2 linked regions of the Cricetulus griseus genome follow. The protein of the gene in region 1 purifies or fractionates together with the protein of each later gene. This does not show direct contact. Links are inferred from orthologs where the notes say so. Each region holds a gene or a part of one and is shown in the gene's direction. Other genes may lie near its edges. The genes, in order: Ptprr and Mapk14.

Evidence for each region.
Region 2: the proteins of Ptprr (region 1) and Mapk14 purify together in Homo sapiens (affinity purification with mass spectrometry; 4 studies listed by BioGRID and IntAct, counting the BioPlex papers as one, with this or other methods). This does not show direct contact. The link is inferred for Cricetulus griseus from reciprocal best matches to the Homo sapiens genes PTPRR and MAPK14.

The regions. Positions count from the first base shown.
Region 1 is NW_023276806.1:140,076,051-140,080,375, reverse strand, and holds the start of Ptprr (receptor-type tyrosine-protein phosphatase R), read left to right. Parts: upstream 1-1,472; 5' UTR 1,473-1,744; coding exon 1,745-1,777; intron 1,778-4,325. UniProt on the Homo sapiens protein: Sequesters mitogen-activated protein kinases (MAPKs) such as MAPK1, MAPK3 and MAPK14 in the cytoplasm in an inactive form.
Region 2 is NW_023276806.1:233,801,215-233,805,819, forward strand, and holds the start of Mapk14 (mitogen-activated protein kinase 14), read left to right. Parts: upstream 1-1,766; 5' UTR 1,767-1,937; coding exon 1,938-2,053; intron 2,054-4,605. UniProt on the Homo sapiens protein: Serine/threonine kinase which acts as an essential component of the MAP kinase signal transduction pathway.

The DNA.
Region 1 (4,325 bases):
GTAAAACTGCACTGGCCCCCAAGGCTAGCTTGCAAAGCTGAAACGGAGAATAAGAACAACCAGGCCACAGCCTAACCAAGGCTGCTTATTATTATGAGATCCTTCCACCCCACTGCCCCAAGCTCCCTTCTGTTCAAACCTAAATCTTATGTCAGTACCTCACAGATAGACCAGGATACTTAATTTGTATTTTCACAAAGTGGCCATTTTGATTAAAATCCCTCCCTGCCATTTTCATATTACTTTTTCTGGCTTTCCTTGGGGTAAATGGCTGAACCTGACTTGTTGGAAACTCCAGAATCATGTCCCCAGCTTAGGAATCTGGCAGACAGGAAAAGAAATGAAAAACAATTAATGATGCAACGATTTATCTTATAAAGGGATAACATAAGGAAGGGTAGCTGGATGAGAAAACCTTTTGGTTTGTGTAGCTTTAGATGGGGTTTTTGTTTATGTTTTGCAATCAGTCTCCACACTGTAGCCCAGGCTGGCCTACAGCTCACTATGTGTTTTTGTCTTTCATTTCAATCACAGATCCTCCTGCCTCTGCATCCTGCGCACAGAGGTTATGGGTGTATGCCACTGAGACCAAAGGCTTTGTTTTAGTATGAAGACTATCAGGACATTTGATCCACTCCAGAAAGATCTAGTTTCTAGTGGCAGATTAATGATAGAAGAGAGAAAATTACCCAATAATTACCTTCCATTGGCATATCCAAATTTATTTATGCTTTGGCTATTGATGCTCCTTAAGATTTCCTCTGATTTTTTTAAATAAAATTTAGACAATAAAATCTTAGTACTTATTCACTGAACTCATTTCAATAAGATACATTTTCAGGTGGAGAATTATTGGGTCAAAGGTCATGAATATCTTAATACTATTGGGAGTGCTTTGGTGCTCTTAAAAAATTAATTTATCTTACTACCAGCAATGTGTAAACAAGTTTAATCAAAGTCTTACTAGAGTTATGGCATAGATAGTGGGATTCTCAAAGTGTTTAAATATTCTTTACCCTATGAGAATGACATTAGCACATATAGACAAAGAAAATGTTTTCCTTGCCTTTATAGTATCTTATTTTCAAACTAAATACTTTGTTAATAGTAATAATTATAACAATTATTTATTTTGAATCATGTATTAAACCTAAGTGGTATGGTAGGAAACAAATTAGTTTTTGAGTCAGACCAGAATATAGTTGAATATCCAACTCATTAATTGGGTTTGTTATCAGTCATTTTAATTTCCTCTTCAATACATAAGTGAATATCAATGTTTCCTAAGTCATAGAGAGTTAAAATTAGATGTCTGTGAGACCCCTGTTATCCAGTGGGAAAATTATTCATGAACATGGCATCACTTTTAAGAGAACTTATTTTTTTTCTGAAAAGATCTTGTAAACATACTATTTTCTTTTAAAGGAAAAAAAGGAAACGTTTTTCTCTTGCAACACAGTGTCCACAGTTCATAAAATTCTCATTTTACAGTTTCACTAACTACCATGGGGAAAGAAAAAAAAACATGAATTTCAATGCTAGTAAACTTAAACAGTGAGCACCTGGAGGGTCTCCAGGGAAAGCACAGGCTGATGCTGTAGACCAGGGATCGGCGGTGTCTCTAGAAATAGTAGCAGCGGGTTAGCTCCAGGTGACTAAACGAGGCTTCAGCTCAGCTCACAGCCTTTATTAGTGCAACTTGCGATGGTGAGGGAATAACAAGAAGAATACAAATGGAAGTCGGATGCCTCACAACATTCAGCCAGTTGCCATTCCGGTAAGAGAATCAAATCCATCGGGATCGGTGAGGGTGGTCGGGGTGATGCCGTGAGGTCGGGAGCATAACGTTGGGATTTCTGTTGGTGGCTGCTTAAGTGAGTCAGCAGAGAACCTTTTTCTTCTCAGAGAAACAGAGTTAGCCTCTAAGTCTGAAATGAAGAAACCCTATGCGGTTATCCAGTGTGTCTCAACAGTAATGACTCAGTATCCTCCGGAGTCTGGAGCAAATCTAACAACCACCTCCAAAGAATGGAATGGCAAATGCATCCACTTGAACAGAACCCGAAAGTTTCATACACGATAGAAAGCAGGGCAGATGTTTTAGTTTGTTTGTTTGTTTGTTGTTTTTCTATTTTGTTTAGTGTATTCCCCACACTAACACTGGGGAAAAGATGACCGCATTTATGAAAATCAGAAAATGAAAGAAGGTGTTACAGTGAGCTGAGCCAGGAAATCTAGACATTTGTACAATGGAGGCATCTGGGGCCCCTACCTTTACATACAGACTTCACTAAAATGACAGTCAGTATCTTCTGCTGTGATCTAGTAAAGAGACTGATGAATGAAAGTTTTGATATGAGATGTCCCTGGCCTAGTTCCCAGCTGGGAATGGCTGCTTCCCTGTTTTCCTTCCCTGAACCAAGAATCTTGCTTTTAATTTTCATAGCTCTCTCAATCACTCAAAAATTCAAAAATTATTTATGAATTCATTCCTTAATCTGCATAGAAAACAATATTCTCAGATAGAGAGAACCTCACACAATGTTTACACAGAGGTTTATTTCACAAAGTATTTATTGAATTCCCACTGGGTTCTTGGCACTGTGTGCAAGGTCTGGACATACATCAATGAAAAATTAGAATTTTTGTTTGAATGTTTAAAATGGTATTAGTGTTTCTGGTATTTGAACAAAGTTATGGACCGTTTTGATTTTATCTGTGGTCTTAAAGAATCCATAACAATGTCAAAAATAATGTAGTTGGTATTTCCATCCATTGTTTTAATAAAATTGGATTAACTTCCTGCCTAATCCAATATTGCAGAGAACAATCACCCAGTTTGAGAAATCAAATTCCATTTCCTATAAAATACAGTGATGCCAGATTTTTTTTCTCCTTTTAAGTGATCCCTAGTATGAAACATGAGCAGATAATAATGTCAAATGAGGGCCAAAATTTCAAGGTAGAAGTTGAGGTTTAGCAACCATATTTTAGACTAAGGAGAAAGAAGGGAGTTTTCAATGATTTTTCTTTTAGTGTCTAGAACACACACCCACATTATTTATATATATGCATACATATAATTATATTAGGAAGAGGGTTTCCTACATATTTAAAACTTTTACATACTAGATAGTAAAGCTTCAAAGAAGATGTGGCTTTTTCTTTCTGATACCAAAATACCTTCCCCTACAGCTTCCACAATCTTCAGTTTAACTTTTTAAATGATCACCATGAATCACTGAGTTAATAATTGATGCTGAATTGCATGTTATAAAATTAACCATTTCTATATTTAGCTGTAATAAGGAAGAATATGCCATATATAGCCTCTTGTTCTTCTGATCAATTCATTTACTTCTATGGGACAATTTAATAATTAAATCACAGATAGAGCAATCATAATAAACATCACAGCCCAATCTTACTAAAAGGGAGGAAAAGTCTCATTGTAAGAATCAAGACGTACTAAGATGAAACTGGCAGTCGTGCTGTGCATAAAAGCTTTGTTGCAGACAACAACACTCAGGATCTTGCTTTGCTAGAAATATGATGTCTCTGAAAGTGCTAATCAATAACACATTGTGGAAAATTATATGGTTATTATTCTGTTGCCATCTCCTTCTGCAGATAAAAGAACCAAGGGCACACTAAAACTTATTCTACACTCATCTTTGTTCTCTTTAAGTTATGCAGAAAATTGTTAATGCCCACTGTGACAAAAATAATCAAGATTACCAAGGGCATCCAACCATAGCATTTTTACTTGTATCTTAAAAACACATGCCAGTAAACCACATTTCATTTTTATCATGTTTCCTGAAGAATTGTGTAGCTCCCCAGAGGAGAGGAAGCAGAGTCCTATTACACTCACTGAAGTGAAATATAAACTCCTCCTTGGTGGAAATCAAAAGAAAGAAATGTGTGACATCCATCCATGCAGGGTTAGACTCCAAACCACTCAGAAAGTGTTTTAGAGCTTGTGTGGTCTCATGCCCTTTCATAGCTCAAGCTTTTATATGTGATCACTTGCAAGTCTGGAAGTAATATACCCCTGTTGTCTGAATACTGGAACGAACATTAAAGAGAAAAAAGGAGAGTAGCCATCTGACTCTTTTCCTCATATCGAATAAAACACCAATGGCCAGTATGGATTAATAATTTCTTCATTTTAATATGTTATCTATATATTTGGTGGCTTAAAACAACCTCAGTTTATGACTAGAAAGCAAGTTCTCTGGGGGATTTAAGACTTCTAATTTATCTCTTGGATGTCTATTTGTAAGAAGTTCTAGACACCATTTAGAGATGAGTCTTGCCTTTGC
Region 2 (4,605 bases), about 94 Mb from region 1:
GCTCAGACGAACGCAGAGAGGCGCGCACGGTCACGTTTATCTTCAGCTTCCAAGACGGGGGGATGCTTGACCTCTCGTGGGAAGTCGAGCCGGGGCCTCAGGTCAGCAGGTTTGTCTCCAAGCTGCGCTGCCAGAACTCGCTGCCCCGTTCCCCATGCGCCCGGGCGGGGATTAAGTCTTTAAAATTCTCTGAGTTCACATTCTTAGGAGTCTCCAAAGTTTCCTTTAAATCTCTACAGTCGGGATGGTTCTCATGGGCAGGAGTCAGGCTCAAACCCCAGGAATGGGTTTTGGGTGTTTCAGAAAAGCAGCCCAGGCTGCCTGCTAGCTACTCATTGCACAGCAGAGGCTGGGCTTCCTTCCAACTGCTGGGGTCACAGAGAGTAATAAATATATATTTATTACATTTATTTATTACATATATATATTTATTACATATATACATATATATTACATATATATAAATATATATAAATAAAATATATATAGTGTGTGTAAAATATTCATATACATTATATTCATATATATATGGAAGAGGAGACCTTCCTGGAATACAATGACCTACCAGCATGTGTGTGTGCATGTGTGTGCGCACATACGTGTGGTGTGTGTGAGCATGTGGTGCATGTGTGTGCGCGCATACGTGTGTGTGCGTGTGTGTGCACGTGTGTGCGCGCACGTGTGCGTGTCTGTGTGTGCATGTGCGCGCGCGTGTGTGTCTGTGTGTGCATGTGCGCGCGCATGTGTGTGTGTGTGGTGTGTGCATGTGTGTGCGTGCATACGTGTGTGTGCATTGTGTGCGCGCATACGTGTGTGTGTGCATGTGTGTGTGTGTGTGTGCATGTGTGTGCGCGCATGGGTACATACGTCCCTGTCCCTTCCAGCACAGGAATCGAACCCAGGACCTCGCAAATGCTACGCAGGCCCCGAGCCCGGCCGGCCCGGCCCCTGGAATTTGCTTCTGAAACGTCCAGGGCGGCTCTTCAGCCTGAGAAAACTGAAGGGGGCTCCTGGGCGTCTGGAGGGGCGGCCTGGGCTCCGGGGCAGGGGCAGCGAGCGTCCGTCCATCAGTCCGTCCGTCTGTCCGTCCGTCCGTCCCTGGGCAGCCAGGGGCCGGCAGCTTTGCCGCCCTGGCGCCAGCGCTCGCCCAGCCGACCACAGCGAGGCGCGCGCGGCACGCGCTGCGCCCTCCCCGTCCGCCCCGCGCTCCTCCCCGCGCTCCTCCCCGCGCTCCTCCTCTCCGTCCGCCCCGCGCTCCTCCCCGCGCTCCTCCCCGCGCTCCTCCTCTCCGTCCGCCCCGCGCTCCTCCCCGCGCTCCTCCTCCCCGTCCTCCTCCGCCCCGCGCTCCTCCGCGCGCTCCTCTCTCCCGTCCGCCCCGCGCTCCTCCCCGCGCTCCTCCTCCGTCCTCTCCATCCTCCCCGCGCTCCTCCTCCGAGAGCCCCTGCCCCGAAGCCCTGCCAGCCCCGCCCGCTCCGTGTTCTCGCGAGAGGCGCCGCCTCCGGCGCGCTCGCAGCGGCCCCTCCCACGGGCGGGTTCCGTATTGGGTAAGATCCCGGCGGGGCGGGGCGGGGCGGTCGGACGGGGCGGGGCCGTGGGCGCGGGCGGGACGGGGCGTTGTTCTCGCGAGACTTCCGCGAGAGGCTCCGGTCGTTGCCGGGAGGAGCGCGGCGGCCGGAGCCAGCCCACGGGAGCCCGGGCGGGCGGGCGGCGCTGCAGCGCTGCGAGCGGGAGTCGTGCGGCGTCGGCGCGGCGCGGCTGCAGCGCAGCGGCGGGAGCAGCCTCGAGCCGCACAGCCGGCTCCCGCGCGTGCCCGCGGCTCTGACAGGGGCCGCGGCGTCCAGCCAGCCCCGCGCGGGCGAGCGGCGGGCGAGCGGCGGGCGAGCGCCGAGGACAGACAGCGTGCGGCTGCAGGCAGCGGCCCCGGCCGCCGCTGGAAGATGTCTCAGGAGAGGCCCACGTTCTACCGGCAGGAGCTGAACAAGACCATCTGGGAGGTGCCCGAGCGCTACCAGAACCTGTCCCCGGTGGGCTCGGGCGCCTACGGCTCGGTGTGGTGAGTGTCGCCGGGCCTGGGGTCCGGGGACGCCGGAGCCGGCGGGGCGGCCCTGCCTGCGTGCCTGCGTGCGAGCCTCCGTGCGTGCGAGCGTGCGAGCCTGAGGCCCGGCCTGTGCCCGCGGCTCCGCGATGCGCCCAGCGGCAGGAATTCTGCCCCGGCCGGGCCCTGCACCCCTCACTCACCCACCCGGGTGCAGCCGCGCGGGCTCCACCCTGCGCCCCTCCCGGGCTCCCTCCGCAGCCCCGCAGCCCCGGGAGAGCGGGCGAGCCAGCCGGGCGGAGCCTCTGCGAGGAGCGGCAGGGCACACAGCCTGACCCCGCGACTGCGGTCACCGGAACGAAACTTGCAAGAAAAAAAAAAAAAAAGCGCTCCCTTCCCGGATTTTTGTTTTTGTTTTTTCCTTTTTCTTGCAAGACTCCATCTGGAGGGGGGACAAATCTGGCTCCGGAAGCGTTCTTTGGGAATTAGCACATGAATTAGCAGCACCCCGAAGAGCCTAGAATGCTGACTTTATCTCGGCGAGCGCGGTGCCAGCTTGCGTGCTGTGTTTCCGATTCGGTTGAAAGCGTATTTCCTTTTCGGGGCGGGAGGGTGGCAGCGCCTGCAAGGACGCCACCGCTCGCCGCTTAGTCACACACCACTGCTCATTTCAGTGTTGCTCCACAAATCAGTTTTCCCATGCGGGCCACAGGGACTCCAGATCAAGTGATCGGAGGTGTAAATAGCTTTTTAGTTGAAATAATTCCTGGGATGCTTTTCTTTAAGTCCCTTTGAAGATTTGTAGGGGCGCGCTATCAGCTTGCTTTTTTTTTTTTTTTCCCAGGGCTGAGGGACGTGGCTTTGGTGAGAGCAAAGGAAACAATGTTTCTCAGCTGTCATTCACACCGTGATTCTTGATTCTTTGTTGTTCATTTGAGACTTTGTATGTCCCTGGCTGCCCTGAACTTCACTCTTCTGGCTGGCCTGGAATAAAGGCTTTTACCACCTTTGCAAGGCCCTGGGAGTGGGTTTCAAATTAAATCCATACTATAAAATATCCACTCCAGAAGTGATTAGGAACTCTCCAGGGTTCATACAGTGTCTTTTAGGCTTAGTGTCTTCTTAGAGCTCTGGTTCTTGAGGTTCAACAGCTTAGCTCTTCACGTGCTTTAGTAATTTATATACACTCCTGTTTTCGAAGGTTTGTGAAATGGTTTGTTTTGTAACAAATTCCAGGGTTCTGCATGTGTTAATCTTTAGGTATGAGTCCTGTGTTACTTAAAGTCACACCATGAATTTCCTGTTTGGTAGAACCTTCTGGGTAATTGAGATTGTGCAATAGTGTCCAGCAACAGATCATATTGCATTTGTTGGCGCAAGCTGCTTAAGTTATGTTGCAGATGGCACCAACCCTGACGTCTTTCTCCCATGTCTACAGAATGGCAGTTCACACATCTGTCATGTGTATTTGCGACTGTTATCTTCATTCTCTAATATTTAATAGCTCATTAGCATACCTCAGTCCGTCATTCCTAATTGTTAGAGTATCAGGCTTTGCTTTCCATTTGAATGTTCAGGGAGTGGTGAAACAGAGTATCTCCACTGTAGGCCATCTGGGTGGGTGAACTTGCAAGGTTTCCTATGGACACTGCTGTCCTGGCCGAAGAGCCAGGTTTGCAATGAAGTTCAGTGGTGAAGTGCCATTAAAACTACGCTCACTTCCTCTGGTGCTGTTCTTTTCTATGAAATAGAATTCAGCACCACCTCACAGTTGGAAAGGACTTGTACCAAACAGCTTCTTAAAAGTAGGTGATACAGGGCAGGGCGGTGGTGGCACACACCTTTAATCCCAGCACTGGGGAGGCTGAGGCAGGCGGATCTCTGTGAGTTCGAGGCCAGCCTGGTCTCCAGAGCGAGTGCCAGGATAGGCTCCAAAGCTACACAGAGAAACCCTGTCTTGGTCTTGAAAAACCAAAAAAAGTATGTGATACAGGACCAGTGATGTAACTCATACTACAGCCCCTGGTCTTGCATATGGGAGGCCCTGCATTCCATCCCCAGCAATACACAAACAACACAAAGCAACTCATTAGCAACTCATTATGTATAAAATGTAAAAAGGTATGCAGCAGGAAGCCTTCTGTTTCTGTTCCCCAGCCCTGTTTTCTCTTCCTTCAGTGACAACCGCTATTCGGTTCCTTGCATGTCTTTTTCAGAGACGAAGAGTTTGTACCAGAGATGTAAGGTGTAGCCTATAACCTGTCGATGGGGGAAAAGACAGCTGAAATTGTACATGATGACTGAGCAAATAACTCTCTCAAGTTATTTGAAGCTGGGTTTTTTTTTTTTTGAGGATTTATTTATTTTATATATGTGTGGGTATTTTGCTTACACACATATATGTGCACCCCATGAATGCTTGGTGCCATGGAGACCCTGGAACTGGAGTTACAGACAGTTGTGAGCTGCCATGTGGGTGATGGGAATTGAACCTGGGTCCTCTACAGGAGCACTGACCACTGAATCATTTCTTCAGGCCTAAAGTTGTGTTTTCAGTTAGCTTTTTGGGT